Notamacropus eugenii: one gene and its partners. The protein of the gene in region 2 interacts with the protein of the main gene of each other region in a biochemical or structural test. Links are inferred from orthologs where the notes say so. Each region holds a gene or a part of one and is shown on either strand. Other genes may lie near its edges.

What was found.
Region 1: the proteins of NCOA6 (region 2) and THRA form a complex in vitro, tested with the Homo sapiens proteins (2 studies listed by BioGRID). The link is inferred for Notamacropus eugenii from reciprocal best matches to the Homo sapiens genes NCOA6 and THRA.
Region 3: the proteins of NCOA6 (region 2) and THRB form a complex in vitro, tested with the Homo sapiens proteins (2 studies listed by BioGRID). The link is inferred for Notamacropus eugenii from reciprocal best matches to the Homo sapiens genes NCOA6 and THRB.
Region 4: the proteins of NCOA6 (region 2) and HNF4A form a complex in vitro, tested with the Homo sapiens proteins (2 studies listed by BioGRID). The link is inferred for Notamacropus eugenii from reciprocal best matches to the Homo sapiens genes NCOA6 and HNF4A.

Annotation. Positions count from the first base shown.
Region 1 is NC_092873.1:355,631,438-355,639,696, reverse strand, and holds the start of THRA (thyroid hormone receptor alpha), read right to left. Parts: upstream 3,301-8,259; 5' UTR 3,076-3,300; intron 2,900-3,075; exon of another isoform or gene 2,786-2,899; intron 1-2,785.
Region 2 is NC_092872.1:418,876,874-418,885,194, forward strand, and holds the start of NCOA6 (nuclear receptor coactivator 6), read right to left. Parts: upstream 3,075-8,321; 5' UTR 2,939-3,074; intron 1-2,938. Other genes in the region: GGT7 (glutathione hydrolase 7), read right to left, coding at 5,336-5,499, 7,894-7,993. UniProt on the Homo sapiens protein: Nuclear receptor coactivator that directly binds nuclear receptors and stimulates the transcriptional activities in a hormone-dependent fashion. Coactivates expression in an agonist- and AF2-dependent manner.
Region 3 is NC_092874.1:30,392,903-30,400,662, reverse strand, and holds the start of THRB (thyroid hormone receptor beta), read right to left. Parts: upstream 3,303-7,760; 5' UTR 1-3,302.
Region 4 is NC_092872.1:520,746,875-520,754,475, reverse strand, and holds the start of HNF4A (hepatocyte nuclear factor 4-alpha), read right to left. Parts: upstream 3,149-7,601; 5' UTR 2,986-3,148; coding exon 2,871-2,985; intron 1-2,870. UniProt on the Homo sapiens protein: Transcriptional regulator which controls the expression of hepatic genes during the transition of endodermal cells to hepatic progenitor cells, facilitating the recruitment of RNA pol II to the promoters of target genes. Activates the transcription of CYP2C38.

The DNA of each region.
Region 1 (8,259 bases), on a different chromosome or scaffold from region 2:
GCAAAGTATATGGATGGCATAAAGTATGGATGGCTGGACTTTGGGGGGACATGGCAAAGCTGGAGATGAGGGAACAATCAGATGTGGGGGGAGAAGGGCAGAAAGAAATCAGGGCTAGTTCCAGAATCTGGCTCCCCAAGGCAAGTTCAGGGTCAATCTCAATAAAATAAGGAGTTTTAAGAGCCTGGAATAAATCCCAATGGGAGTGATATTCCAGTGTCAGTGGCCTAGCTCCTAACCCTTTCCCTGGAGTGCTAATTCCCATAGACGTTAGGATGGGGTGGGGTATAGGAGACACCAATACTCTTACCTACTAAGCTTTAGAATTGAATAGGGAGCCCTGGAAAGCCAAAAAGACAGGAATCCTCATTGACATTAGGAAACCCCAATAGTTCCTAGAGCTCCCCTTATTTAGGTCCTGTATCTAGGCTTAGCTTAGCCAGGTAGAGAGGCCTGGTTGAACAGAAGCACCCTTCCCCACCCCCATTCCCCAAACCCTGGTGGCCACAGCTGTGCTTTTCTCTTGGTAAGGAAATCCAGGATGTCCTGAGAAGCCAGCAGAGCCCCTTCCACCCCCCACCCCCACCCCAACCTCCTGCTGACCCCTGGGGAGGCAGCAGGGAAAAGCTCACTATTAGCAACCAGAGAAATATGAAGGATGTCCTAGCTAGTCCCTAGCTCTAGGACAGAAGATTATAATGCTGAGACATGCAAAGACTGGGAGACACTCAAAAGAAAGTGACAGGAGAAAAGAAATATAGAGCTTAAAAGAGAAAGAGACCAGACAGAGAGATAAACAGATAAAAGGACAAAAACACACATAAAAACACAGCAATTTGAACAGAAGGACAGAAGGTAACATCTAAACGGATAGTAAAAAAACATCTAGTTGAGGTTATGGGGAGGCTTTGGGGTAAGCAGGAAAGATTCAGGCAAATGAGTTCCCCAAGACACTTTTAGGGTGGGGAAGTGGGAGGCAGAGAGTTAAGTCTGATTCCCCTAAAGACAACCTTGCTGCCCCCAGTTGTCAAGGCAGCTTAGGCAGGGTTATTGTCTGGGGCTATTGTCTCAGTCCTCAGAAACCCCTTACCTCCCCTCTCTCACGAAAATTTCTCTTCCTAATCTCCTTTAAAATTGTCCATGCCCTTAGAGGAGGGAGACACAGGAAAAAGCATGAGACAGAGAAAGAATGTGTGCATTTGTGTCTGTGAATGCCTGCATGTGTGACACAGTAAATCTGCTACTCTTATCATTCAATCAACAAATACTTACAGAGCAGCTATTATACAGGAAACATTGGGATAAATGCTGTTGGGTATAAATGGGTACAAAATAATACTATCCTTGCCCTAAAGGGATTTACAATCTAAATACAGAGTTGTTCTTAACCTTTTTCAGTGTCATGGAACCCTTTGTCAACCTGGTGATGCTTATCCACCCTTCTCAGAATGTTGTTTTTAAATGTATAAGATTATAAAAAGAAACTATCTATATTGAAATAAGCTTCTAAAAAAAACAAAACAAAAAAAATATGGCCCATAGGTTAAGAATCCTTGGAGTAAGAGAGTATGTATATTACTATATATGTGCATTTGTCTGACATAGCTTTTATTCTTGGGGGCAATCTTCTCTCCTCAGTTACAATGTAAACTCCTTGAGGAGAGGGCCTGTCTTTTGCCTCTTTTTGTATCCTTTTCGATTAGCAGAGTGCCTGGCACCTGGGAAGCAATTAATAAATATTTATAGATTGATTAAACTCCTTGAAGGCAAGAATGTATCTATTCTTGGTATCTCTCTCAATGAAAAGCAAGGCAGTGGTGCCTGGACACTAGGTCCTCCATAAATACAGTATCTGTTTGTCGGTTGTGACTGCACCTGGGACTATGTATAGCGATGTCTGTGTATAGGAGTCTGTATGTGGGTATGTGCCCGTGTCTGTCTGCCTGTCCTTGGGTCCCCCTGTGGGTGTGTCCATCTCAGCGTGTGCACTTGCTCACGAGTGTTCGGTCTTCCTGGCCCAGTGTGGGTGTGTCTATCACCCTCCTGTCCTTGACGCCCCGCGTCCCCGTGTCAGCGCCTATCCCGGTGTGTCTGGCTTTCACCGCCTCCCCCTACCCTTCACCTCCCGGACAAGCCCCCCTTCCTCCTCCCGTCAGCCAGCTTCTGCCAGGTCAGGGCTCCCGGAGTACTACCAACCGCGCCTCGCTCCTCCTCCCTCACCCTCCCTTCAAACTCTGACCCCGCCACCCCTTAGGCCTTTTCCCCATCCAGAAGAGGGGGAAACCCCATCTGCCAGGGGCTCGAGGGACACGTTGCAAGCCCCTCAGCTCCCTCCCTGTTGGTCTCGCACTTCCCCAAGTGGCCTGGAGCATGCAACTCTCCGGGCGCTTCCCGGGGACCCCGGAGTTCTCCTACCAACTCCTCTTTTTTCTTCCCCCAGCCGCGTTTTTGCATTTGGGAGTGTTGCAACTGGAGGGCCATGCAGCCCCATGTGAAGGGGCTGGGGCGGTCCTCGAGCCCCGGGGAGGCTGCAACCCCCCCCCCCCCCCACTCCCGCCGGAGGAAGCTTTGCAAAAGCAGCTCGGCCCCGGCAGTCGGGAGGGCGGAGGGTGGGGGGAGAAACAGGCCGCCCGAACCGTAAACAAACCGCGGCGGCGGCGGCGGCTGGCGGGGGAACAGGGGCCGCCTGGCAGCCGGGGCCGCGGCTCCGACAATGCGTAGCAGACGGGACCGGGAGAGGCCGGGGACCCGCGGGGCGGCGGAGGCGGGGTGTGGGGGGCGAGGCCCGGACGCCATCTGCCCCTGCAGCACCACCGCCCCCCTCCTGGCCACCAACCCGCTGCAACCGTCCCGTCCCCCTCCCCCGCCAGCCGAGTCCTCCATTTACTCCGGGGAGTTGGTAAGTTGCAAGCACCCCAGCACTGACAGTGTCACCCAGGGGCTGGCTGTGCAGGCAGCGGGTCCCCAGGGACGCCCCCAGCCGGGACTAGGACCCCAGCCAGCGAGCGTCCGGTGGCTTTGCATAATCAATCGCAATGTATTTGCATATTAATACCCCCTCCCCCTCCCCCTTACCTCGGCGTGGCGGGCTGGGCTGTGCGTGGGGAGGGGTGGCGGGTGGCTCAGCGCCGGGGCCCGGGGGTGGCCATGGGGGACCGGTGGGGCCGGGGCCGCCCGCCTCCTGTCCCCGGGTGTGAGTGCGAGTGAGAGAGGGGGAGGGGGGCAAGTGTGGCGGCCCCGCGGCTCCTCCGGCAGAGGCGGCGGCCGTGCTAGCTCCTCCCTCCCCCGCCCCGCTCCGCTCGGGCTCGGGCTCGGGCTCGGGCTCGGGCTCCAGGCTCCGCGCCGCCCGGGCCTGGCTCACTGCTGCTCCCTGCAGGCCGAGCCTAGCAGCCCGGCGGCCTCCCCTCCCAGCCCGGGCCATCCCGGCCAGGTCGGCTGTGCCGAGCCCGGCCCGGCCCCGCCCCTATCTCCTCTCACCTTCTTCATCTTACTCGGACCGAGTGCGCTATGCCCTCAGTCCATTCACGCCTGGCGGGTCCCCCCTCGCCCCATCCTATCCCACGCCGGCTCACTCACAAGTGCCCATCCCTGCCGGATCGCTCCCTCGGGAATCGCTCGCTTCTCGCTAATTTGCTCTCTGACGCTCGCTCCCACCCGACGCTTCTCCCGGTCCCACTCTGAGCCCTCCTTCTTTCGCTAGGCTCCCTCCTGGAGGCCACTTCTTGTCCCCAGCCATGTTTCTGAAGACCCTCCGCAGCCCAGGAGGGAGGATGCCGTCGGTTAGTCAGTCCACAAGCATTGGCTCAGGGAGTACTATGAAGCCAGGCACTGTGCTCGGCTCTGGTGATGTAGAGAAAAGTAAAAACACGGCCCCTTTGGTCAAAAGGAAGAGACCTGGAAAGGACTATGTACCTGCAGGATACATGCAGAGGTCTCTCCCGTCCTGCTCTTATATCTCATCGTGATGCTGGGAGAATTTTGATTTTTTTTTTTCAACGGGGTGGAGAACCGAACTGGAATCCAGAACCTAGAACCCAGAATCCTTTGTGTATATGCAAATTGTAGGAGTCATCCAAAAAGAGACCTCTCCAATGTGTCAGGTCCCCCACCCCCACCCCACCCCACACACCTTCCTATGCATACACATACAGCTGTATTCATGGACATTAAACCAACCCAGAGACGCCAAAGCCCTTTTCATCTTGGGATCTTCCAGGTTGGGCAAAGCTCTAATTACCCCAGCCCCCCACTCTGGCCCTGCCGGTTCCCCTGCTGTCATTAGCCCAGTTTTACCAGCGGAGGCCATTGCCTTCCCACGGGCTCCCCAGGGTGGGGCCCCTCTTCCCCTGCTCCCTTCTCATGAGGAGGTGGGGATGAAGTTTGGTCGATCACATTTGGAAAATTTGTCTGACTAACAACAGCCTGAGTTGATTAGATTGTCCAAACCTCTCCTTTTTAGAGGTAATTCTCTCATGGTAGGTCGTCCCTGGGGGCTTGTCTTCCAAGAAGGTTTGCCCTTCAGATCTCTCATGGGATCAAGAGGAGGAAGAGGAGACACTCTTTGGAATGCAGTGATCATAACATCACAGTTTCAGAGCTGGAAATGGTCTCTGAGATCATCTAGACCAACCCTTTGTAGAAACTACTCTGGACTTACATCTTCATTTTACTGATGAGGAAAGTGAGGTCAAGAGAGTTCAAGTGACTTGCCCAAGATCACACAGAGAGTCAGGATCTTAAACTGAGGTCATCTGATGACAAATCTATAGCTTTTTCTTATTCTTCTTATTCAACCCGCTGCCTCTCATAGTGAGGATGGGAGAGATTTCACCATCTTAGCTTAATAGTGAATATGGATTTTCCTATCCCTCCATCTTCCCTTGTACTGTGAGGTGTGTTTGTCCTCCATTGCCGCAGAAGACCATGCCATCAGAGAAATAATGACCTGACTTGCACTTGACTTTGTTTTGAGTGAGGGAGGGCTGTGCAGGTCACTAGCCTTACTTCTCCTCCAGAACTATCTGAATCCAGTGACCAGATATTCATCAGGATCACTAGAGATGACCCAGGATGAGGCAATTGGGGTTAAGTGACTTGCTCAAGGTCACACAGCTAATGAGTGTCAAGTGTGTGAGGTGAGATTAGAACTCAGCTCCTCCTGACTCCTGCACTGGTGCTTTATCCACTGCACCACCTAGCTGCCCCTGTACTCTGAGGTGGTGGAAAGGAAGAGAAGGGAGAAGGGAATAGGAGACTATAGTATATTAAGGATAGGAGAGACAGGAAAAGGAACCTGAGAAAGGGTGGTCTAAGGAACAGCCTGTTCTCTGGCTATTGTTGACAAAAGCTGTATCCAAACACCTCCTCTTTCCCTCTTTCTGTTATTATGGTGTACCCCCACAATTTCTCCCTCTCCTATTCCCCTATCAATAGGGATTCTAGATAGTTATCTCCCTAAGAAGACCTCTGCCTAAGAGCCAACACCTCATACAACTCCATGCCCCTGTAATCATTTCATATCCTAGTGACAGGTGGGGGATACTGGCCATCAACTAGCCAGTTGTGGAAATAAGCTCTCTGTCTCCCCCACCCCCAGCACTCCCCTAGCCTAAAGAGAGTTGGTACCAGCAGATGAAATGTGAAGGAAACTCTCCAAGCTGTCTTGGCATTACCTCACTGCTTGACAGACCTCTGAGCACTGGGGAGGAGGAAAAGGAGAGCAGGGGAAACTGAGGTACAGATGGTTGATGAAATCAGGAATATAGGTATTTTTCTTATCAGGAATATTTATTTTTCAGAAAGGAGATTGGTTATTGGGATCCTAGGAAAAGGAAAGAAGAGAAGTGTATGGTGGAGGTAGGGATGGGCTGTTGGGGGCAAGGGGAGGGAGGAAATAGATTTGGTAGACTTGGAGGAATAAGGGACTGGGAAAGGCAGACAGTTGGGAAATTATCCAGCAATTACCCTGATAAGTACTAAGGAGGCCACTTAAGTCCCCCACAATAATTACTCATGTTTTCTCCCCAATCTCTGATTTCCCTTTACCCCACTTGGGCACTCAAAAGACAGGAAAGGGAATTTGGGGGAGGACTATGGGAAAAGACTTAATAAGAAAGCTCAACACAGGACAGGCGAAAGAATGACCTTATATATAAAACAAGAGGGAGGTTGAAGAGGTTTGACCTCTGCCCTCCACCAAACCAGATTTTTCTGGGTTATCTCCAAGTGAGACAAACATGGATCCCAAATTCTCTCTCGGATTCCAACCTTCGGTATGAACTCTCTCCTCTTCTCATAAATGTCTGCCAAATTTCATTTACACCAAACTCATTACAATCCCCCTGCACACTTATTAACTATTAATTATTCCCACCTTTAACCTCTAGATTAAAGGTCATACCTTAAGTCTAGAAGAAGGGTGATGATGATGACACACTTTGTCTAGGAGAGGGTTGGTCCTTTGCAATCAGAATATGGGGCAAGGAGATGGAAAAAGGGATAATATGGCAGAGGGAACAATTATCAAGACCTGGGTACATGTGGCTCCTTTCTGTGTCTAGGTGCCAAGGTCATGTGGCTGATTTTTCTCTTCCTGATAAAGGGAACATGTTGGGTGAGTGAGGATAGGAGATTATCTCAGGAATTCTGGTGACTGAGACAAGGTGAAGCTGCTCTAAGGTCTGGGTTCAATTTTTCCTTTTCAGCACCTTGGATAGTTTCTATCTTTCACTTCTTTTTTCTCCTGGCTGGTGGGAGGAATTGGCCATACCCATTTCTTTTGGGGAGTTATAGAGATGGGACAGGCACAAATGAAGAGAAACAAAGAAAGTGAAAATCCCCTCCCAGGGGTGAATGAAGGGAATTCTTGGCTTCCCTTAGAAATTGATCCTTGTAAAGAAGCACAGAGCTATGGACATCCTCCTCTCTGAATATAGAGAAAGGAAGATATAGGCTAGGAGTTAGGGGTGGGAATGGAAGGCAGTCACTTCTGAGGTGAGCTAGACCTAGTGTTAGCTATTTGTGTGTGTGTCTTTGTGTGTGTGTGGGGGGCACTTTGCTGAACTTCTCTTTCCCACATCTGTTGCCAGTTGACTCCCCTCAGTTGGCACCTGGGCATATTTTCAGGAAGCAGTGCTATAATAGTGGCATCTAGCCTAGAGCCTTGGTCTCCCTTTGAAAGAAAATAGGTGGATATCTCTTAGGTGCCCTACTCCAAGAAGTTCTTTGACATTCCTGTGCCATGTAACAAACAGAATTTCTATCACTGTCTTCCTGACACCCTTTCCTAGTTGGGCGGTGAAACTTCCTCAACCAATATTCCCTGACTCCTCATTGACCTTTCCCAGACTCCTTTCCAAATTCTCTGCAGCTGCACCAGATGTTGCCATGTCATTTTTTCTTCATGGGCTTTTCCCTGGTATGGGTAGAAATTGGCCCTTTCTTCAATACTCAGGGCCTTTCTTCCCTTGGTTCTGTCTAACTCTGGAAGTGAAGGAGGAAAGGGGAATGGGTCTAAGAAACAGTAGCTTAGGTTCCTTGTTATGAGTGAATTTGTAAGAAAGGATGGGGGGAGGTGGAGTAGTGGGGTAACAATGAGGTTGAATTAATATTGGAAGAGAACTTTTGGCAGCTCGAATGTGTTTGACTACGGCTTTCATGATGACAACCATGAAGACCCAGTCCTCTCATCATATCATAAATATCATATCATAAATAAATAATGATGTGGCAGTCCTATCCTTACAGTGGGCTTGGCCAGGTGGGAAGTTGGAGTTGTCCTGGCAGGGGAAGACTGTCTCTGAGTTCAAGAGAAGAAAGCAGCTGGCTAAAGAGAGTCAAGGGTTTCCAAAGAAATTGTTCAGGGAAGAAGATATTGAAACAAAAACTGGAATAGAGATAGACTGGAACTGTAGTCTAACCCCAAGGAAAATCTTCCCTTTCCTGATCTTTGAGACAGAGAATTGGTGTGGGAGGAGGGAAAGTGGGAGGAAGAAGGAGGGAACTATAGAGGATGTCTTCTAGTCTGGAACTGGAAATGGGGAAAAGGGAGGCCCCAGAGACAGTTATCCAGAACTCTTTGCCAGAAGGGGAGGGTCTAAACTCTGAATGCTGACATCCTCATCCCCCAAATATTCTTCTCTCCCACTATGGGCTCCACTGTCTGAGTGGCTGGCTCTACAGTCCTCAAATGTTTCCTAACCATTGGTGAGATTAGGTAGAGAAGGGGCAATTGAGAGGAGTTACAGCTCAGTGAGGGAC
Region 2 (8,321 bases):
TAAAGCACTTTGCAAATCTTAATGTGCTGGGATAAATGTGAGTTAGAATGGTACAAAAAATGGTGTGAGATCTGAAAATTGTTACTGATCAGGAAAAATTTAATGGAAGAGGTGACAAATGAGTTGAGAACTAAAGGACTACTGATGATTCAACAGATGAGGATAATGAGGACTATCTGTGTTTGAGTAATATAGTTTGTTTTAAGCATTGTGAGCAAAGGGAAAGAAAAAGAAACAAGGCTTAAAATGTAGAAAGCCCCAAACTGTAGAATACTTAGAACTCCTGGCAAAGAAATCTGAACTTTACTTGATAGGTAATAAAGAACCATTGAAGTTTTTTGAGCAGAAGAGCAACCTGATCTATACATAAGAAATCATACCCTGGCAGTAATATGAAGGATGGATTTGAGAAGGTAGAAAGGTCCCTAAAATAGAACTAGTGAATAGAAATGAGGACCTGTACTATGGTGGTATCATTGGAAAGAATGAGGAGAGAATGGATGAATGAGATGTTGCAGAGGAACTGGCAAAATACTTGGTACCTACTTGGATATGAGATATGAGGAAAAGTAAAGACTAACAACCCCAAAGTTTTGAATATAAGAGGCACAGTAAATGGTGGTGAATCAGACAAAAATAGGGGAGGCAGGAGGAGAGCCCAAAGAAAAGAAATAAACCTGGTTTTAACATGTTAGATTGAGGTGCCAAAAGGACATCTAGGTGAAGCTTTCTTGTAGGTCACTGGAAATGCAGATCTAGAGGTCAGAATTGGAGAGAATTTTGGAGTTGTCTGCATAGAGGAAGTAGTTGAAGTCGTGGAAATGAATGTTCATTTGTCAATGGAAAAATCACGTGTGTTCGCCCTTCGTCATTATGGGATTGAGACCAAGTTGAGGACATACTGAAGGGCACATCAAAAGGTAAGAAAATCTCTGGAGTATGGTCTCTGAAGCCAATAGAGAAGAGTATTGAATAGAAGAGGCCGGTCAACAGTGTCAAAAGACATTGACAAGTCAAGGGGTTTGGAAAGCACTGGATTTGGTGATTGTAATGGTGATCCTAGAGAGGAAAGTTTCAGTAGATAGAAGGGAACCAAAAAGAGGGTGTGTAGGCATCTGGGAGAGACAATTTTTTTCAAGACGTTTAGCAGCATAAGGGAAAAAGACAGGATAGTAGCTAAATAAAAGTGGATGTGTCAAAATGAACACATCTGTAAACTGATGAGAAGGTTCCAGTGGAGCAGAGACAGAAGAGATGAGTGACTCAGAGGGGTTGACTTCTTTAAGTAAGGTCTTCAAAGGAAGAAATGAGATTAGGTAAAAAGAATTAGCCTTAGTCAGAATACTTTACTTCAGCGACTGGAGGGAAGGAGAGAGATTATGAGGAAATTGAAAGGGCTGAGAAAGTTCTTTTTAGTGAAAGAATAAAAGGGCAAGAAAAGAAAAAGTGATTCTGGGGAAAGGGAGTTAATAAAATTTCAGCAGAGATCATTACTCCAATCCTCCAAGTTTGCAAATGAGGAAACTGAGACCTAGATGAAACAAACTGACATCCTAAATCACATAAGTAGTGGCCGAGCTTGAACTAGCACCTACAGTCCAAGGTCTTTCCAACACCATTCATGTTGCTTCACACAACAGATAAATTTTCCTAAGGCACAGAGTTTAAGAATCAGGTCATTCATCCATTCAAAACCTCTCAATTGCTCCTTATTAATTATTACACCAATAACTTCTCTCTCTGGCTTTTAAAACCCTTCACAACCCGGCCCCAATCTATCTCTCCAACCTTGTTATACATTACTCCCCTTCCCAATCTACAAACTGAATATCTGTTCTTCCTCCATGGCACCTCCACTGGCCACCTGTGTCTCTGTACCGGCCATCCCCCCTGCCTGGAAGACAAGCCTCCCTTCCCTCAAGAAGCAGCGATCAAGACCTGCTCCTCAACCTTTCCCGACGGCCCGATCCTTCCCTCCCCGGTTTCTTTGTATTTCTTCTGTATGTCCCTACACCAGGTGTCCCAAAAGTCTCTGTGCAGCTGTAAGCCTCGGAGGCTCGATTTCAAGCGCTCTGAGGACAGCGCCCCGCACGGGGCTCCAGACAACCAGAGTCCGCGTTTAAAGCGCACGAAGCTCAGCGGGCTCGTGGTGGGCTGCCCACACTGGCGTTAGTCCCGACTCCCAACCACGGGCTCCACATCGCTGGGTCTACACCGCTTCCTCAGCCCCCACGGGTGACCTCCCTGTGTGACCCCTATTCGGGTCCTCCCCTGGAGAGTGCCCTGGGTCATTACCCCCACACAATGCCACGGCTGTTTCGTACACACAACACGGCCAGGCCCCGGCCATCCCGAGGCTTCCTTCCTTATCCCCACCTTCAGGCACCGTGAAGCCCCTGGGAGGGAGAAGCTTGTTCCTTTGCGACTCCCGCTGTCAAAGTCCCCAGCCCGGGCTCTGCCTCAGTGGCCTTCCCGTGTCCTTCCTGCCCTCCCCCCGGGGCACACTCGCGCACACACACCCGGCCCGGTAACCCGGGCACACAATGAGGTGGGCCTGCCCTGCACGCCCGCCCGGGCCGGGGCTTGGACACCTGCCTCCCCTGGCCCCGCTGGGGGGTTGGGAGGCGGAGCTCGGGCTCGGGCACCGCGGCGAGGCCACCCCGCACCGCCGCAGGCCGGGCCCCGGCCCCCCCCCCCCCAGCCCCGGCTCCCCGCAGGCCGGGGCCAGCTCCCCAACATGGCGGCGGCGGCGGGGACACGAGCGAGCCCGGTGGCTGGCGGCGGGCGGGCGGCGGCTCCCGGCCGGGCCGGGTCTGTCATCCGCCCCGCGCGGCGGCGCCATTTTCCCGGGACCAGGGACAAGGCTGGTCCCATTCGCGTCCCGTCCAGTCCCACCCCACCCCCCCGGACCCGGCCCGAGCTCCAGCCTCTGCCTCACCTGCGGCCCTGCCAGGGGCCTCCGACGGCGGCCCACTCTGGCCCGTGGCCTGCGAGCGCCGCTCTGTCCGTCCCCGCGGCCCGGAGAGCCGGACAGCGGGACACCGGGACTCCCGGACCCGGCAGCGGCCTCAGACCCGGCGGGGAGGGGGAGGGGAGGGGACCGGGGCCCGGGAGGGGGAGGGGAGGGGGAGAGGGAGGGGGAGGAGCGGGGCGGGGCCGGGCAGGCGGGGGCCTCGCGCACGTGACCGGAGCGAACGTCCCCGGGAGCTCGGGGCGGCCGCACGCAGGCGCGCCCGGGCCCGCCCCACCCCACCGCGCCCTGGTCCCTCCTGGATGAACCTCGGATTTTTTCCTCCCCGATCTTCGGCAGTTTTTCTTTCCTGAGCCCCAAGTTACTCCTTGGCAGCGCTGAACCCTTGATCTCCAGGTTCTCCGGACTGCGCATTCCCCGACTCCCCACAGTCCGGAGCCCACAGTAACCCCCATCTTTTCGCAATCCCCAGCTGCGTGGACTGCGCCCCATCTGGTTTGCCCTCTTAAGGAAAGGGTAGCCAGGAATCGGTCTCGTTCTTCTGCCTGCTGGTTGGTTCTTCCGAACCTGGACCCTCTGCCCCTGGCCCCGAGGAGGCAGGGACAGAACCGGCCCAAAGTCTCGCTCCTAGGCTTTGCGTCCTCAGCTCTGGCTCTTACATTCTGAATGACTGGCCCAAGTGCCTTCACCTCTAGGAGACTGGGTGGTCTCCATTCCCTCCCAGTGTTCACTTTGGGGGACTAGTGGGATATCTAAGTAGGGTCGCGGGATCCCAGGACTTGAGAGTGGCCCGGTGAGAAGCTAGAGACAGAACTGAAATTAGGGAGAGAGAGGTCATCTCGGTGACTTGGGGCGGCTGGGGGCCCAGCAGGAACGGCCCCTGCTGACACCTGAGAGCAGGGCTGTGCATCTCCTGGAAGGGAGTCAGGAGGCCTAGGTGGACAAGAGCGCACAAGTGGAAGGAACTCAGATGGCTTAACCACGAGAAGAAAGGACTTAGGGGAAGCATGGTCAGTGTCTTCAGGCATGTGAAGAGCTGTCACGTGGAAGAGGTAGCTTTGTCCTTTTGGCTGCAGAGAAAAGTAGGAGCAATGGCGGGTGAAAGTTACAGGGAAGGAGATTTAGGGGTCAATAAAATCTTGTTAACATGGAGAGCTCCACCTTTCAGGGTTGTTGAAGAAGGAATTTCCGTTCAGTTCTCAGTCAGACTGGATGACCTTTGGGGTTCCTTTCAACTCTTGGATTCTGTGCTTTGAGTACCATCTCTGTCAAATCAAGGTTGAAGACCTGGGCATGTGCTCTCCTTTCTCTGGGCCTAAATTTCCATCTCTGTACAACTAGAGGGTCAAAGTTTCCAGCATTAATACTCAATGAGCTATAAGGAAAAAAGTGCTGGATGGCATGCCCTACTCCACCCTATTTCCAGGAACAGCCTAAGAGACTAAGGAAAATTAAAGAGAGGTTGAGAAGATTCATTTTTCCTCCCTAGGGTCCTTCTTGGTGAACTTCATGGGACTGGCATTGTTTATGGACTGAGTTAGGGGTGACATTGCCCAGAGGTAGAGAGATGGTCTAAATGGCCTCCAAGGTTGCAGACAGCCTAAAGTGCTCCTATTAGAAGTCTAAGTGAGGAGACTTCGCTCTCCCAAAAATTCAGCCATCTGTCCCAACTTTGACCTGGAGACCAGCTAACAGACCAAGCCAGAGAAGAGATTTCTTAAGCAACTTTCTCTTTAATTCCTCTTGGGAAGTGGAAGCCCCTGAGCTGTTACCCACCCTCCCTCCCTCCCACCCTTATGTGGCCCCTTCTCCCTGCACCTCTCCCTCAGACCCTTACTACTTCTGGGACAGAGAGAAGGAGAAAGAGGGCCCCTTGCTTCTGGATGGTCAGTTAAAAAAAAAGTCATTTAAGAAATGAGACAGGGGAGAGGGATGGGGAAAGATGTCAAGGGTTGGTGGGAAGGAAGGATGATTCGGGCCACCTGGGTGGGGTTTTTTTGGGGAGTTTTTGTTTTGTTTTTAAGCAAGCATTTCCCTAAGCCTCTCAGGAGTAGGAAGTATTGGAAGGAGGCAGAACCATTCTTCTAGTCTTCTTGCCTGAGGTCTGTCAGGCCACCACACCCATCAACTGTGGAATTTGTCAATTATTCTGGAATTGGGTTTGATATAAATCTCCTCTGGTCCCCAGGCCCTGGGCAGAGCTCGAAGGCACCAACTGGGAACCTCTGGTCTTCAGACCCACTCTGTGCCTGTCCCTCCTCCCTCCCTCCCTTGCCCAGGGGGAGGCAGGGCTCCAAGGGGCTCTTGGAACATGCAAAGGGGTATTTGTGCTGCAGCGCCTGCCCCTGCCCCACCCACCCAGCCCTACAAGATGGTGGCACCCGCTCCATCAGGGCTTCGAGGATCCTTCACCCCAATGATGAAATTGTTGGTTCTCCGACCTCCATGGACCCAGGACAGAACGTCTACCTTCTCAACCCGATGGCCCCTAGCCTCCAGGAACTCAACCTCTTCCTCTGTGAATTCACCTGAAAGAAATCACATGCAACAAAATCAATTCAAACATTTATTAAGTATCTCCTGTGTACAGAACTCTCTTCTGGGTGTTCAGTAAACTCATATAAACCCACAAGCACTGGCCAAGATGATTTATTTTTCAGGACTAGACAAGCTTGTCTGTCCAGGGCAAGATGTAGACAAACAATTTCAGCACCCCTAGAAAAATCTCCATTACTTCCCAAATTTCTCTCCAGTCCTCCCATTTATCCCTTAATAGGGACAAATCCCAACATTCTCCAGAGATCAGATTGATGGAATAAATTCCCATGGGAAAATTATAAACTGTCCGAGTAGGAAGGGATTGTAGAGATCATCTACTCTAATCCTCACATTTTACACGGGAAACAATCCCGGACAGCTTAACTGTGGGACTTGCCCAGTGCCACACAACTAGTTTATTATGGAGTTATCAGTCACTAGCATTAGTCCTACTTCTCCATTTTACAGATCAATCAATCAAGCACTTACTGAGGTCTTTTGGAAATATTTCTTTGACAGTTATATGAAGGATAGACCAGAAAAGAGATGGGCTTGAGGCTGGGAGACCAACTACAATGCTATAGAATTAGTCCAGGCCAACGGGAAAATAAGGATGAAGGGAATGAGACCTTGGGAGGTGAAGGGATTGGCCTAAAGTCACATGACTACTGTCATATATAAATTAGTATTAGAAGGGGAGTCTAGTCCAACCTTCCTTATTTTAAAGGTAGGGAACCTAAGGCCCAGAAAGGAGGAAGTGGCTAAATAATTATTATCTTAGATCTCAAAGCACTTCCCAAGAGCAGTCTTTGGGTAGGTGGGAGGCAAGAGGGCACTGGGGGGTCAGAAGGGAGGTTGAGAGAGAAGGGCCACCACTGAGGTGGGAAAAGGGCAGAGAAAAGGGGTAGCTGTTGGTGTCTGGGACAAACTTTACAAACAGCAATTCTGCCAACTGCCTGCCTTCATTTGGCCAGCCCTGGCTTAAAGCTCTTCACAGAAGCTGGCCAGGAGGGCCCTCTAGACCTAAATTGGTTTATGGGGTATTCCCCCCACCCCTTCCCAGCCCTTGAGGGCTCTAAACCCTGAGAAGAGAGGAAATGCCTACCTCAGGAAAGAAAGACCACCCATAGAGAACTGGAGGGAGAAGACTCAAGGCTTTTAACTGATTTGTAGATGAACTTGACCTTTAATCTTTTATATTCACAAATAACATCAATTTAAAAGACAATACTGTCTTTTTAGCCTTTTCAAGTTTACAAAGCCCTTTCCTCCCCGTAACAACCTGGAGGAAGGTACAGCAAGTGGTTCAGTCGTTTTCAGTCTTGTCCAGCCCTTTCATAGACCCCATTTGGGGTTCTCTTGGCAAAGATACTGGGGTAGTTTGCCATTTCCTTGTTCAGCTCATTTTGCAGATGAGGAAATTGAGGCAAATAGGGTTAAAGTGAATTGCTCAGGGTCATAAAGCTAGTAAGTGTCTGAGGCCAGGTTTGAATTCAGGAAGATGAGTCTTCCTGACTCCAGGTCTAGCACTGCATCACCTAGCATGTTGACTTTGAAAGCCATATGTGAACACTATATGTGCTCGATTGCATTTTTATTTATTTTGTCAAACATTTCCCAATGACATTGTGATCTGATTTTGGAGTACTCAGAAGTATTGAGGGCTACATGTGACCCACTAGTCCTGAGTGTGACACCTGTGTCCTAGATAACTCTCTAAGACAAAAAGTAGAAGAGAAGGAAATTTTCTCACCCAAGAGTTCCCTATACCAATGAAATCACAAGTTCAGTCCCTACCTGTACCCATTATCTTGTCTACAAGCTGTCTGGGGAGGGGAAAAGGATATAATTGGAAATGAACCCAAAACAAAAATAAAATATATCAATTCAAAATTTTTAAGAAGTGTTCTGAGAAATTGTGCCTCTAAATAATGAACGATGATGATAACAACTCCTGTCTTTAGTTTTCTTCCTCATAAAGAACCCTGAGTACATAAAGGATTATTATCTCAGCAAAGTTGACTAAGCATCCAGGACAAGGGGAGAATAAGTAATGAGTCAATTAACAAGCATTTATTAAGCACTTACGATGTGCCAGCAACACTGTTAATGAATAGGGATACAAACTCAAGAGTCCCATAATCCCTCCAATGTTCTCATAAATTCCCAGAAGGTGTTCCTGCAGGTAGGGGGTAGGGTTGGGGGGGATAAGAGAGGCGGTATGTGTGTGTGTGTGGGGGGGGGTGTTCTGAGGCAACAAAGGAAAGCAAAGCCTAAAAGTCCCCTTCTCCAGGAGGCACCTGGGGGTTGTACTTGCTGTTAATGTGACCCACCTAGGTTCCAGAATCAGGACCCCACCAGCCTGCCCTTCTCCCTGTACTCACTGTCCACCTGAAGGATGTTGGATTGGAGCTCAGGGTGGAGACGCCCTAGGGACAGGCTGTCACTCAGATTTCTGTTCATAGTCAGCACATTCACCAGGACCTGCAGGATACCAGGGAGGTGAGAGGTGCATATAGCCAGGGAGTATTCCCAAGGAGCCCAGGCAAATCATCCCTTATAGCTGCAAAGCATTATATACTTTTAGGTACTAGGAGGTATAGTAACAGGGTTGTGCTGGTGCCAGCTTGAACTCATCACAAGTACCAATGGTTAAATTTTCAGTGTGAGCATGTTCACCATAGAAATTGGCAAATGTTATAAATCAGAGCTTGATTTATTGTTTCGTTGATTGTTTAGACTTAAAATAATGGAGAAAACGTTAACACAGATTAAATTTAAGTGTCATAGGCACAATTTTTCTTCTCAGAGA
Region 3 (7,760 bases), on a different chromosome or scaffold from region 2:
CTTAAAAACCTTTGGGATGGCAGGAATGGGTCTGAGGGGCAGAGTGAACTAGGGGCTCTGGATTCTTTCCGGAAGAGGTTTCTCAGCATCCAACTTGGAGGGGGAAGGGTTCAGGAAAGAGGCATTGGCAAGAAAATTGAGATGTAGGGTAGTAGCTGCTCTGTGGGGCCCTTTGCTCCCTTCTTGTGATTGCTGGCCTTTGCTCTTTAGTTTTCCTTTATAAATCCTTACTTAGCTATCCTGACTTCATCACAATAACTTCTCACCAATGGCTGTTGCCTCAGCTTTTAATATCACCCTTTCCTTTCTAGAAAGGAAATACCTAGGGTATTTCATTTAATCCTTACAACCCTGGGAAGGTGGGTGCTATTATTGCCTCCACTTCACAGATGAGGAAACTGAGGCTGAGAGAGACGAAAGTCATTTGCCCAGAGTCACACAATCAGCAAGTGGTTCAGGCTGGATTTGAACTCAGATCCTCCCAACTCGAAGTCCAACACACATACTCCAGTTGCTATTTATCTGGCTATATTAAAACTCATTTAAACTTTCATTCCCTCAGTGCTGCCCAACTGTCAAAGAGAAAAAGAATAAATCTGATAAAATGACAAGAGCTGGGCAAGCTGGGCAGGACCACATGGATAGGAGAAAGAGTAGGTGCCCACTGTCTAATGTGATGAATTAAAGCTTTTTAGGAGACAGCTGAGCAGAAAATAGCATGCTGTTAATGGCTGGTAAAAATGTGCATTGAAAAGGTCAGGATTAACCTGTTGGGGCAGCACAAAGTGCCTGCTGTCAAGTGTGTTTTCTCTGCCTTCTAAAAAAGAGAACTGGCCAAGGGTAGTTCTGGAGCAAGGCCCGCGACTGTGGCCTCTTCCCTTGTCGTTCCAGCCCCTTCTCTCTGTCTGTCTGGAGGACGTTCCGAGCCTGGAATGAGCCATGGCCCTATCCCACCCTGTCCATGCTGATGGGAGGGATGGCCAACTGTGGATTCCTGCAGATCCTTCTGGACTCCTGGGGGGTCCCTTAGAAGAGAAGGGGACATCACAGGGCCAGGAGCCAAGGGCCCCATGGCTCTGGAAAGGGGACATTTCCTGGCAGCTACTTGTGATGGTGTTTATAGATTTAAGGATAAAATAATGAATAAATGAGCAAAAAGGCATTTATAAAGCATTTTTCCTATGCTAAGCATTGGGGATTCATACAGAAAAGTGAGACAATCTTTGTTCTCAAGGAGATCACCTTCTAATTGTGGGACACAACATGTCAAGGAGAGTTCAGACACAAGGTCTGGTGCTCATTAGCAGGTATCAACAAGATAGATACGAAAGGCCAGGAGTCCTGAGGGTTTGTTGCCAAGTCAGATGGTGGTGTGTAGGGGCCTGGAGGGTGTCTTTTCAGGGCAAATGGCAAGTACTGAAGGGCCAGAGTGTAATCTGGGTAATAATAATGAGTTGACACTTATATGGTGCTTACTCTGTGACAGGTACTGTGTGAAGCACTTTACAATCATTACCTCATTCGATTCTCACAACACCCCTGGGAGGGAGGTGCTGTTATTATCCCCATTTTACAGATGAGGAAATTGAAGCAAAAGGCAGTTAAGTGATTGTGAAGGGTCTCACAGCTAGTAAATGTCTGAGGCTGGATTTGAACTCATGTCTTCCTGATTCCAGACTCAGTGTCCTATCCACTGGGCCATCTAGATGCCTATATGGTAAGGCCTGGTGCACTTACTATGTGTGAAATACAGCTATGTACTGGAGATACAAATAGAAAAGTAAGACGGTCCCTGATTTCAAAGAGCTCACCTCAAATCAGGAGACAAATGGGAGTTCTTTGGAAGCCAGGGGCAGGGAAGATGGTAAGGCAAAGTGATTTTTCCACCTTACTGGAAGGAGTGTAACTGGTGACTCTCTGCTCAGAGTAAGCAGCAAAGCCAGGCCTACAACCCTTGGGAGGGTAGGAGTGGGTCTGAGGGTCAGAGTGAATGAGGGGCTCTGGATTCCCTCCAGAAGAGGTAGTAATAAGTAGATTGCTCATCATCCAACATGGAAGGGGAAGGGTTTGGGAAAGTGGCATTGGAAGGAAGATTGAGATGTAGGGTAATAGCTGCTCTGTGGAGTCCTTTGGCACATGGCAATGTCTGTGCAGGAATGGATTTGATTCATCTCTTTTCACTTTCTCAGCCAATTCTACTCTGACCAAAGGGAGATACTTGCATTATGGTTGAACAGAATGCTAAGGGAACCCTATTACTATAGAGTAGAGCAAAGCTTACAGTCACATGGAGAAAGCAGTGGCTATCCATTTTCTAAAGAGATGTAGTGTACACTCACAAGGAACACACCTGGTTATGGTTTCTCATTGGTACTGGCAACAGTAGCCGCTGCTGCAACAATTTCAGGAGCTCTCTTCAAGAGGGTAAAATAGAGAGTGAAAGAATCCACCTTTCAGTGGAGGTAGTAAGGTAGTGAACCAGTCTGTGATATAACAGAGCCCATGTGAGGAGTCTTTTATCTTGATACAAGATGGATCCTAGAGTATCTAAGGACCAACTTGGGGCTGGTCAACTTTGACAGGATTATAGATTGACCTGAGGGGCTGCCATTCACTAACCTACTTTATACTCAGGAGGAAATGAATAATAACAGCTCACATCAAGATGGCACTTTAAAGGAGTGGAGCCAAGATGGCAGATTGGGGGCAACCACCGAGGTGAATTCTCCCCACATTCTCCTCCAAACAACTTTAAAAAATAGCACTTGAAATCAAATTTTGGTGCAGCAGAGCCAATAAAAAGTCGGAGTGAGACATTTTTCCAGCCTAAGAAAACTTAAGAGGTTGGCAGGAGAAGTCTGTCACTAGGGTGGAGTCCCGTGTTGGAGCCTACACACACAGTAGTGGCAACAGTAGCCGCTGCTGCAACAATTTCAGGAGCTCTCTTCAAGAGGGTAAAATAGAGAGTGAAAGAATCCACCTTTCATCGCCTGAAAGATTCCCAAATGAAAACTCCCAGAAATATTAAACCCATTTCCAGAGCTTCCAGGTCAATGAGAAAAAATGTTTCAAGCAGTCAGAAATAAACAATTCAAATATCGTGGAGTCACAGTCAGGGTCATACAAGATTTAATGGCTTTCATGTTAAAGGAGTGGAGGGCTTGGAATAAGGAAGATAGGGTTACTACCAAGAATCACCTGCCCAGAAAAACTGAGTGTAATCCTTCAGGAGAAAAATAAATAGACAAATACATACATACACACACACATATTTAATGAAATAAAAGACATTCAAGCATTACTGATGAAAACATCAGAACTGAAGAGAAAATTTGACACTTAAGAGAAGTATAAAAAGGTAAACATGAAAGAGTCATCATAAGGGACTCCATAAAGTTAAACTGTTTAAATTGTTATATGGAAAGATGATACTTGTAACTCCTAAGAACTTTGTAATGCCTAGAGCAGTTGAAAGGAGTTTACAATAAACTGAGGGCATGGGTGTGAGTTGATTACTTGGGATGAACTCCAAAAAAAATTAAGGAGGGAGAAACAGGGATGTACTGGGAAAAGGGGGTAAGGAGAGGTAGAATGGGGAAAATTTTCTCACATAAAAGAGGCGTACAAGGAAGAGCTTTTACAATGGAGGGGGAAAACGGATGGTAGTGGCAAGCAATGCTTGATCTTCACTCATTAGAACTGGTTGAAAGAATGAAGAAAATGTGTACACACAGACACACGTATACACACCCCTCACCCCTCACATATATGTAAATACATGCATATACATATATATACATATGTACATAGACACTGAGTTGTATATAGAAATGTAACTTACTCAACAGGGAAACAGGACGATTAGGGAATAAGAGAAAGAGGTGGTTTGATAAAGGGGAGGGTGCATTAAGGGAGGCAGTTGTTAGAAGCAAAATAAGAATTTGAGGAGAAACGGGACAGAGAGAGGGGAGAAAGGGGAGAGAGGAGAGAATGAGAGGGAGGGGGAAGAAGAGAGGATTATAGGATGGAGTGAAATAGACTGTTAGTAACGACAACTGTGAATGAGTCTGGGATGAGCTCACCCATAAAATGGAAGCATACAGTGGAATGGATTAGAAACCAGAATTCAATAATATGTTGTTTATAAGAGACACACTTGAAACAGAAAGTCACACACAGAATTAAATAAAGGTCTGGAGCAGAATCTAGTATGCTTCAGCTGGAGTAAAAAACGTTGTGCGGATAGTAATCAAGTCCTCAACCAAAACCAAAGCAAAAATAGACCTAACTAAAAGAGATAATCCAGGACATTACATTTTGCTAAAAGATACCATAGACAATAAAGCACTATCAAAAATTTTTAAAGCAAATTTCTGTAATAATTTCTCAAATGTATTCTGAGTATGGAACCGAGTCAAATTTATAAAAAAAGAGTCCAACTGATAAATGGCCACTGAGAGGGGAGTTTTCAGAAGTTATATACAATCACATAAAAAATTGTTCTAAAATCACTATTGATTAGACAAATGCAAATTAAAACAACTCTGAGGTAGCATCTACACCTATCAGAAATGACAAATGCTGGAAGAGATGACGGGAAAAATAGGTATGCTAATGAACCATTTGTAGAGTTGTGAACTTGCCCAACCACTCTGGAAAACAACTTGGACTAGGCTCAAAGGGCTATAAGACTGTGCATACCTTTTGGCCCAGTAATACAACTTCTAGGTCTGTATCCCAAAGAGATCAAAGAACAAGGAAAAGGATCTATATGTATAAAAATATTATAGCATCTCTTTTTGTGGTAGCAAAGACTTGGAAATTCAGGGGATACCCATCAATGGGGGAATGGTATATGATTGTGATGGAGTATTATTGTGCCATCAGAAATGATGAGGGGGGTGGTGTCAGAAAAAAAACCCAACATGAAGATCTAAATGAACTGATGTGAAGTGAGAAGAACCAGGAGATCATTGTACACAGTAACAGTAGTGTTGTAATGATGATCAACTGTGACAGACTTGGCTACTCTGATCAATAAAATAATACAAGACAATTCCAAATTGCTCACGATGAAATAATGCTATCCACCTCCAGAGAAAGAACGGATGAACTCTGAGTGCAAGCTGCAGGATAATTTTCTCACTTTCTTTATTTTTCTTGCTTGAAAGGTGGCTAATATGGAAATATGTTTTGCATGATTTCACATGTATGATTGATATCATATCGCTTACCTTCTCAGTGGGTGTGGAAGAGGTGGGGGGAGGGGGAGAATTTGGAACACTCAAAGTTTAAAAAGAAAAGAATGTTCAAAATAAATAAATGAGGACTTTTTAAAAATAGATGGTACTTTAAAATTATTAGCAAAGTGCTTTCTGTACATTATCTTACTTGATCCTTACAATAATTCTGTGAGGTAGATGTAATCATTATTCCCTACTTTACAGAAGAGGAAATTATTGCATCTGTATACATATATAATATGCACAACCTATTTATATCCCTATAATGTATCCATAAATACATTTCACACAATGTACTTACTATGTAACATACATTACTTACTATAATCATATATGTATATAACCACACATTTACATGCAAACCCCACACATACTCATACAGATACAATACACACGAACACACATGTATATGCATGTTATACACATGCTCATATACATGTATGTATAAAAGTGTGCCACAAAGAGCTAGCCTTAAACTCCGGAAGACCTTAGTTCAAGTACTGACTTGTATGGCTGGGCAAGTCCCAGCTGCTCAGACCTCCAGTCAAATCTCCATGGCTCTAGGTTGCCAGTTACCAATCTGCTTTGGTAAAATCAATTCCTTAAACCAGTGACAACCTAGGAACAGACCAAATCTACATGTGTGTGTAAATATGAACATACACACATATATAATATATATACTTTTAGATTCTGTCTCTGTCTCTCCTTGAAAGTTTAGAAACCCCTTTTCTCACACTGGTTCTGTGGGCTGATTCTGATTTACCCCTAGTGGACTTGAGACAGCACATCTGAGAGGATGAGTCACTTGGTCTGGATCCCACAGCTCCTAAGGGGCAGAGCTTGGCCTTGAACCCTGGTTTTCTGATTTCAAGGACAGGGCTCTTTCTGGGGTCTCATGTTGGCCCTTCTGGGCAGGGGTGTGAATGACCTATAGGAGGAAGGGCCAGGCAGGGGGGAAGCTCAGGGTTTTGACCTAAGCGTAGATCACTGGAAACAGAAACAGAAAGCTTCCAGGAGAAGGGACGGCTCCCCATGAAAAGGAAGAGCCACTGGAAATGGCTGCGCAGACCCTGGAGGGAGAAATATCAGGGAAGGACAAGTAGCAGTGAAGTAATGCTAACCCTTGACTTGTTGTCAAAAGGTCCTCTGCCTTGGTCTCTCCTACTTCTTCAGATGAATTTAGGAGGAATCCAAAAGGCAGAAGCCTGTACACAAACTACACCTGCTTTACTAAGAAAACTCAATAGTAACATTCTCTGAGGATGGAGGGAAAAACATTATTTTCCTCTAATGAGTCTTTTGTGTCAAAACAAACAAAGGTACCAGCATTTAGTCTAATAATATAAGGAAAGAAAGAAGACAAGAAAAAAAAGGTGGTGGAAAGTTTATGTGTGTCAAATTCAAACCACTCTTTTGGGAATTCATTTTGTTTTACTGACTCTTGAAATGAGGGAATACAAAACTGATTACAGGGCTTCCAACACAGAAGGAACTTTAATAAGTAGTTTTGGAAAGAAGAAAGGAAAGAGAGAAAGAAGAAAAGGAGGAAGAGAGGAAAGAAGGAATGAGGGAAGGAAAAAAGAAAGGAAAGAAGTAAAGAAAAAAGAAAGAAAAGAGAAAAAAGGAAAGAAGAAAACAAAGGAAAAAAAAGGAAAGAAGGAAGGAAAGGAGAAAAGAAGAAAAAAGGAAAAAAGGAAGATGGAAAGAAGGAAAAGGGGAAAAGGAAGGAAGAAGGGAGGGAGGAAGGAAGGAAGAAAGAAAGGGAGGGAGCAAGAATGGAGAGAGAGAGAGGGAAGAAGGAATAAGGGAGGAGGGAGGGAAAAAGGAAGGAAGAAAGGAAGGAAGGAAGGGAGAAGGGAGGGAGCAAGCAAGGAGGGAGAGAGTAGGGAGGGAAGAAGAAAAGAGGGAAGGAAGGAAAGGAGGCCTTTATTGTCTCCTGCCTGGAATGTCCTCATTGTTTTCCCCATTTCCAGTCCTTCCCCTCTAATCCATCGCCCACAAAGCTGCAAAATAAATCTTCTATGGCATAGTTGGACAATGATGTTCCCTGCTCATAAACCTTCAGAGGTTCCCTGTTGGCTCTGTGAAACAAAAATGACTCAGGCTGGCATTCTTGACCACCCGTCATGGCCTGGCTCCTGACGACCTTTCCAGTCTTATCTCACTGTACTGCCTTTCAGTCCTCTATGTTCCAGCTGAAGGGGCCTCCAGATGTTCCCTCAATTCACATCCCACCTGCGGGACACTCATGCATCCCATTCCTCACATCCACCCACCCACCCATCCATCTAGCAAACATTACCAAGTATCTCTTGTGTGGGAGGCCCTGTGCTAGGTGCTAGGGATACAGACACCAAAATGACATTCCTGGATAATTCTCCTTCCTCCTCCCAGAATCCTTCTAACAAGAGCCAACATTTCTACAATGTTTTATGATCTGTGAAGCACTTTGATGCACATTATCTCACTAGAACCCCACAAAAGCTTTGTGAGGCAGGGATGCCTTCCCTAATT
Region 4 (7,601 bases), about 100 Mb from region 2:
CCTGCACAGAAGGGCCATGGTTGGAACCTGCCCCTTTGGTTCTTGAGGAAGATACTATAACAATCTGAACTCCTATGACCTAGGCTGCTGGGGAGCCCAGCCTCTTGACCCTGACCCTAGCTTGTTAGCTGCCTCTCGACTGTCCTTGTAGGAAACATACAGAAGCCACCGGAAGTGGAGGCATAGGAGAAGCTTGTCATTACTGCTCTGGGGGAAGCATCAAGGCAATGAATAAGACATTGGACTTGGGGGTCAAAAGACCTGGGTCTGAGTCTTCTTCCTGTGGAATGACCTAAAGCTAGTCACTGAGGCTGTTTCTTAAACTATACAAAGGAGATGATAATTACTTGCATTCCCAAGCTTCTGGGAGGAATGTGCTTTATATACTGTAAAGCCTGTAGAACCCAGTCAGCCAGAGTCTGGCCTCGGTTAGCAGCATCCCTACCCATTCCTAGAGGAAGGAAGCAAAGGCTTCCTAGGAATCCCCAGGAAAGGGCTTCTTGTGGACCTAAGAACCTGCAGGAAAGGCCCCAGATCTCCAGAGGGTCCATAAGAACTTGGATGGGGGGAAAAATCATCTTTATTTTCACTAACCCCTAACTGAAATTTGACATTTCCTTCCATTATAAATTTTAAAAAGAAAAACATTCCAAGAAGGAGTACATAAGCTTCACCAGACTGCAAAAGGGGTCCACACAAAAAGATTAAGTGACTAACCTTGAATGATTGAGGCTTGGACACTCAAGGTTAACAGCTCACCCCAAAGCCTGGGCATCCTTAGTAATAGTAGTAGAACACTTTCTTACCATGCTCAACAATTTGTAAAGTACCTTCCTCACAGACCCGGGCAACGACCAGACCTTGGGCCACAGCCAGCGGTGTGTTCTCATTAGGAGATGGAATGGTTGTGCAGGGCCAGTTTGTGCTCTTAGTCATTCCAACAGGTTTCTCTTTCTCTGTTTTGCTGATCATAGGATCACCAATATCTCCCTTGGGAGAGGGGGAATAATGGGGGTGCCATTCTTTATCCCCATTTCACAGAGGAGAAAACAACAGCCCAGTAAAAGGAAAGGGACTTGCCCATAGTTACACAGCCAGTTAGTAGCAGATTTGGGACCAGTCCTGGGCTCTTTGCCTGAATCTAAGCTGCTTCCCTGTCTCCATACTTGTCTCCAGCTTTGGACTGCACAGTTACCAAGTTTTCTTAGAGATCACTGTAAAGGAGATCATTAAGCTACTGTGGCCTTGGAACTTTTTGCTTCATGGTCCCATCACCTTCCAGCTTCAGCTTCAGGCTTTATTTTCCTTGGGCCAGTGTGGGGCTAGAAGGAATATTTGATTATCTCTGATCCCAGGATCAGCAAACACTTCTTGGAGGGCTCAGTTTATATGTCTATGCAAGTTTAAAAGCATCTGGGCTTTTCTATCTAGTGTTGGATGGGAGGTTGGTGGTCATCTAGTCTGACCCTATTCATTTTACAGATAAAGAAACTGAGGCCAAAGAGAAAAGTGACTCCCCCAAGGTCACACAGATAGTAATTGGCAGGGCCAAGATTTCAAACTAGATTCTGTGATTCCAAAGCCAACAATTCTTCCACATAGTCCAAAGTCTGTATGTGTATGCCTGTACATATATGTGAGCATATATGTGGAACAGCAACATAGGCACCCAGAGATCTGGATTCATATGCCAACACAGACAGATTTGTAGCCTGACTTATACATAGCAGCAATGTCATAAGCATACATACAAATGAATTTAAAAATAGAACTCGTGCATATGCAAATATGAGACACATATACAGATCTCTATATACACACAATGCCCAAGTGACTTCTTATATCTTGAAACCACTTTGCCAAAAAATCTTTCTCCTAGTTTCTCTCCAATGGTTAACCTGGGGCACCTCGTGATATACTGGCTCCCCCTTCCCCCATCTGCCTTCTCTTAGAATACACTTTCCTGTCCCCCTAAGTCCCTGGGTTTCTTTCCTTATTGCTCCACCTTCCTCCAAACTGGGGAATGTAGGAGCTATAGACCTGGTGTCTCAATCCACTCTCAGAGACAAGAGGCCCCTGATACCAACTAAATCAATCAATCAGCCAATAAGTATTTATTAAGCACCTACTATGTGCCAAGCACCATGCAAAGCACCAAGGATACAAAAAAAGGCAAAAGACAGTCTCTCATTTCAATCTAATGGGGGAGATAGCATGCAAACAACTACATAGATCAAAATATTGCAGGATAATTTGAAAACAATCAATAGAGGGAAAGTACCAGAATTAAGAAGGATTGGGAAAGACTTTCGGCAAAAGGATTTTAGCAAGGACTAGAAGGAAGCCAGGCAAGGCAAAGCCCTGGCCTAGTGGACTCAGTAAAGTGAAGACGCAATCAAGATTGCCAGTATACTCCATGTCCCATAAAGGTTTCTAACCAGGCACCTGTATATATATATCTCCATGTAGATCACGGACTATTAGAGCTGGAAGAAAAACCTTAGAGATGATCTGATTCAACTTCGTCATTTTACATTTGAGGAAAATGAGGACTAGCGAGGGGAAACAACCCAGTCCAGCTGACCTCTGCACATACACCTCTGCATGGGCACACGTACGTACACACACACACACACACACACACACACACACACACACACACACACACACACACACACATACACACACACACACACACACCTGTACATATAGTTCCAGGCCTTGGCAGAGTCATGGAGAACCTCAGTATATACACCTCTTTGTATTTGTACAAGATAACACATCTTTCTTTATACATCTGTATGTGGTTGTCCACATTTGGGCACACCACCTGCCCCTGCTCCCCTAAGAGCCCCTCCAGGCAGACTTACCAGTGCCCATGGTCAACACCTGCACATTCTCAAATTCCAGAGTAGTGTAGGCTGGGTCCAAGGCAGCACTGTAATCGGCCATCTCCATGTCGACAAGGGCTTTGGAGAGACGCATTCTCTCCTGCCTGTCCAGAGTGGCCAGTTCCCTCTCGTTAGGCCGCCTGACCAGAAACAGGCCCACTTCCTATTGGGCCACTTTGGCCTCCCACCCTGCCTCTCTTCCCCCTCTGCCTCTGCCCCAATCCCTCTATCTGTCCTCCTAGATTTCAAACATTTCTCTGAGAGGATTTACAGAGCTCTGGGCCTAGCCTTTCCTGAGGGGTGGAGGCAAGAGACTAGGGAGGGGTAGGGGTTAATCTTTAATCTTCTTACCCTCTGGTAGACATCATGGGGCTGGGCAAGCTAAGGTTGGGTTAGGCTTGCCTGGGGTTTTTCCCTTTCTTATGGGAGCCATCATGTCTAGGTTGGCTTTTGGATTGGGGGCTGAGGCTGACATCCCCTGTGCTAATGACAGCCCCCAGCTCATCAGTCTAATTTTCTGCTTCCTGACACTCAGCATGGCACAGGACAAACAGCCCAAAACTGGCAGTCATTAGACCCGAGTTCAGTCTTCATCTCTGTCATTTACTAGCGATGTGATGCTGCACAAGTTACCTCCCAGAGTGATACCACAGAAAGAACACTGGCTGTGCATTCAAAGGACCCAGGTTCAAACACCACTTCTGGTACCTATGACCTGTGTCATCTTGGGCAGATTGCACCTTCCCCAAATCTTAGTTGGACAAGATGACCTCTGAGGTTCCTTCAAAATGGAGCATTGTGAACCTCCCTCTGACTCAGTTTCCTCATCTGTTAAGGTTGGGCTAACTTATGGCAATAACTCATATTTCTATAGGTTTATTTAAATATTATTATTATCATTATCATTACCATCTGGAGTCAAGAAGACTTCAGATGACTTTTCATATTCACACAGCTAATGCCTGGGCCAGGATATGAACCCTGGTCCCCTGACTCAAAGACCAGTGCTCTACCTCACTGGTTTCTCAAATGATCAAACTTTCTGGTGCATTGACTTCTAATCAACATATATTTTAACATGTGCTAGCTGTCCCCTCCATTAGCTCAGTAAGCTCAACGACAATAGGCCAGTTTTACTCTTTGTACTTGTCTGAGCTGGGCACATAGTGGGTGCTTAATAAATACTTGCTGATGGATTAGCATTCGATAAGCAGACCCTGGGCAAGCCACTTAATCCCGACTGCCTCAAAAAACCAAAATAATATTACAAAGTCAAATAATAATAGCTAGCATTTAAATAGTATTTTAGGACTTGAAAAGTACTTTATGGCTACTAAATCATTTGATCCTTACAACAATCCTGGGAAGTGAGTGCTATTATTATCCCCATTTGGCAGATGGGAAAAACTGAGTTACAAAGAGGTTAAGTGACTTCCGGGTTCACACAGCTCATAAGCTGGATTTGAACTCAGGAGTTCCTCACTTCAAGTCTATCACTCTGTCCAGTGTACCACCTAGTCATGCAGAATATAGGCAATCCTGAAGTAGATGTTCGTGGTAACAAGATTTGTTATAAATGTCACAGAATCACATAATGCCAAGGTTAGAAGAGTCCTTAGGACATAGAATGGCAGAACTGGAATGGATATTAGCAGCTAGAGTAGTCAAGCTGAAAGGCAGATCTTCAAGGTCATCTAGTCTTCCATTTTATAGACAAGGAAGAAACCAAGGTTGGGAGAAGGAGCTGAGGTCACCCAGCTCATTATGAACAAGTTCATCTATGCCTAGTGCTCTTTCCACCACACTGTGGCTTGTCCTCCTTACCTCTCAATGACCCAGGGTCTCCCTCACTCTCACGTTAACTTGAGTCTTCCTGCTGTAGTATATTGGAAAAAGGACTGACCTAAGAGACAAGAGGTAGCTTCTAGATCTAGCTCTATCAGTTGCTGGTCATGTATCAACTCTCTTCTCTGGGTCTCACTTTTCCCATCTGTGCAATAGGGGAGATGTATTCTATTTCCAAGGTAATTTTCAGCTATGCTTTCTTGCATTCTAAGATTCAATCTCTTCTTCTTTCATTGTTCTTTTTTAAAAAAGCTTTAAGAACATTTAAACATGTCACCTAAGATAATATATACAGGCTTTCCAGCTTCATATTCTGTCTCTGAATAAGGGATTTTCTGAGAAAGGGTTCAGAGAGACCTTAAAATTTAGGAATATGCCCCCATACATCCCAGTTCCTCTTAAAAAGCTAAATGTCAGGTGCTGATGGGACCTTAGGAGTTCATTTGAGTCAGAAGACCTGGATTCAAATCCTGGCTTTGCTGTAACCACCTATACGATCTTGGGAAAGTCATTCAATTTCTCTGGGTCACATTTCCTCCATCTGAAAAATAAGGGTGTCTGACTAGACGGGCTGTAAGGTCTCTTCCAGCTCTACATCTAGGTGCAATGTCCTCATTTTACAGATGGAAAAACTGAGTCCCAGAGATGTGACTTACCTAAAGTCACACAGCTAATTAGTGGCAGATTCAGAACTCAACCAGTCCTTGACGAGATGTGTAAGTAGCCAAAACTGTACTTGGCTATGTTCAACTGTGGGGGAAGAGGTAAAGTATAGAAGAGGATAAACCTACTATGAGCGCTGTCAGGTCCAGCAGCAGAGTGGCCTCAGAAGAACAGTAGGGGAAGCATGAGGACTCAGTGACAGCAGGGAGAATGCATCTTTCGATGCCCATGTCCTAGGGAAAAACTCCATTTGTCCATCTCATTCTGGTTCTGTCTCAGACCTCTGAGTCCGGGATTTTCTCCCCATTGCATTCCATACCTTTAGTTATCTTTCTAGATCTATGACCTGGGATCTAAATCTCATCTTACATTCCCTATTATGACATCAGTTGGGGGTAACAAACTCCATAGCCCTTGTGTGAGGAAGGGTTTCCCTGAGTATGTTCTGAATGAATCTAAACTTCTTGAGCATCACCAATCAATCAACAAGAATTTACGAAGTGACTGTTGTGTACAAGGCACTGTGCCAAGAATACCAGTATAACAGAGGTGACGCTCCCTACTTGAAAAGAGCTTACATTCTCATAGGGAAGGCTAGGATCTGTATAAATATATAAAAATGAATATAAAGTAAAGGAATACAAATAAATCTATACAAAAACCTGTATTTACTTGTGTAAATACAAGTAAATACAAAGTAGCCCTGGCAGTTAGGTATGATCAGGAAAGGCTTCACATGCAAGGTGGCAGCTTTGCTGTCTCTTCAAGGAGGAAAGGGGGCAGCTAGGCAGCACAATGGATAGAGCTTGGAGTCAGTTAGATCTGAGTTTAAATCTGGCCTCAGACACTTACTAGCTCTGTGATTCTGGGCAAGCCACTTAACTCCTATTTGCCTCAGTTCCTCATCTGTAAAATGAAGGTGCAATGGAGAAGGGAGTGGCAAAACAGTCCAGTATCTTTGCCAAGAAAATATCACGTTCAAAAGTCCATGGGATGATGTAGAATTGGACATGACTGAATAACAACAATGGAGGAGAAGGAGTCTATGAAGCAGAGGTGAGGAAGGAGTAAATTCTAGGCCTAGGGAGAAGGGGGTGGGAAGACCAATGCAAAGGCACGTAGATAGGGGATGGAGTGTGGTATGTGAAGAACAAAGAGGAGACCAATTTGGCTAACTTGTGGAGTGCTGGAGGGGAGACATGTGAAGGGAGGCTGAAAAAGACAGGTTGGGGCCAAGTTGTGAAGGGCTTTCAAAACTAGAGGAGTATTTATTTGACTCTAAAGCAATAGGGAGTCACTGGAGTTAAAGGAGCAGAGGATTGGCATGGTCAGATCTGTGCACAAGGAAAATCCCTTTAGTCAAAGTGTGGAGAAAGGACTGGAATGGGAAGAGATCTGAGGTAGGAAGACCGGTGAAGAGGCCATTGCAATCATCTAGGTGAGAGGGGATGAGGGTGTGAACTAAGGCGTTAGATGCATAAATGGAGAGAATGGGTCATCTATGACAAATGCTATGGAAGTAGAATGAGCAAGATTTGGCAGCTGGTTGGAGGTACAAGTTGAGTGAAAGTGAAGCCTTGAGGATGATGTCAAGGTTACAAACCTGAGAGACTGGAAAAATGATGGTGCCTTTGATAGAAAGAGGAAAGTCTGGAAGAGAGGGGTGTTTGGAAGAAGGATGTGAGAGTGTCTTCCTCACCCCTCTGGGATCTGGTGAACAAACTTCTGCTTTCCTTCCTCCTACCCTTAAAGGTTTCATAGACTTCCTCTGTTCCCCTCCCCTGACCTTCCACTTTAATAATAAAAGTAATAGTCCACATTTTTAGAGTGCTTTCAGGTTGACAAAGCCCTTTCCTGACACACCTGGGTGTGGTAGTTCACACAAGTGTTATCGTCCACGTGGTTGTCCTCATGGAGACTGAGTGGCTGCTCTGTAATATACAGCCTCAAGTCCTGGAATAATAGGATGAGTAACAAGAAGGAACCATAGGAGCCAGGTAGAACAACTGGGATACAATTCCCTCATTTTACAAGTAAGGAAACTGAAACCCAGAGAGATAAAGTAAGTAGGCCAAGGTCACACAACTAATATTTGGTCCAGGATTTGAACTCATCTTCTGGCTCCAAATACAGAGTTCTTTCTACCACTCCACCTGGCATTCAAGGCCTTCGGCAATCTATTCCCACCACATCATTCCTTTG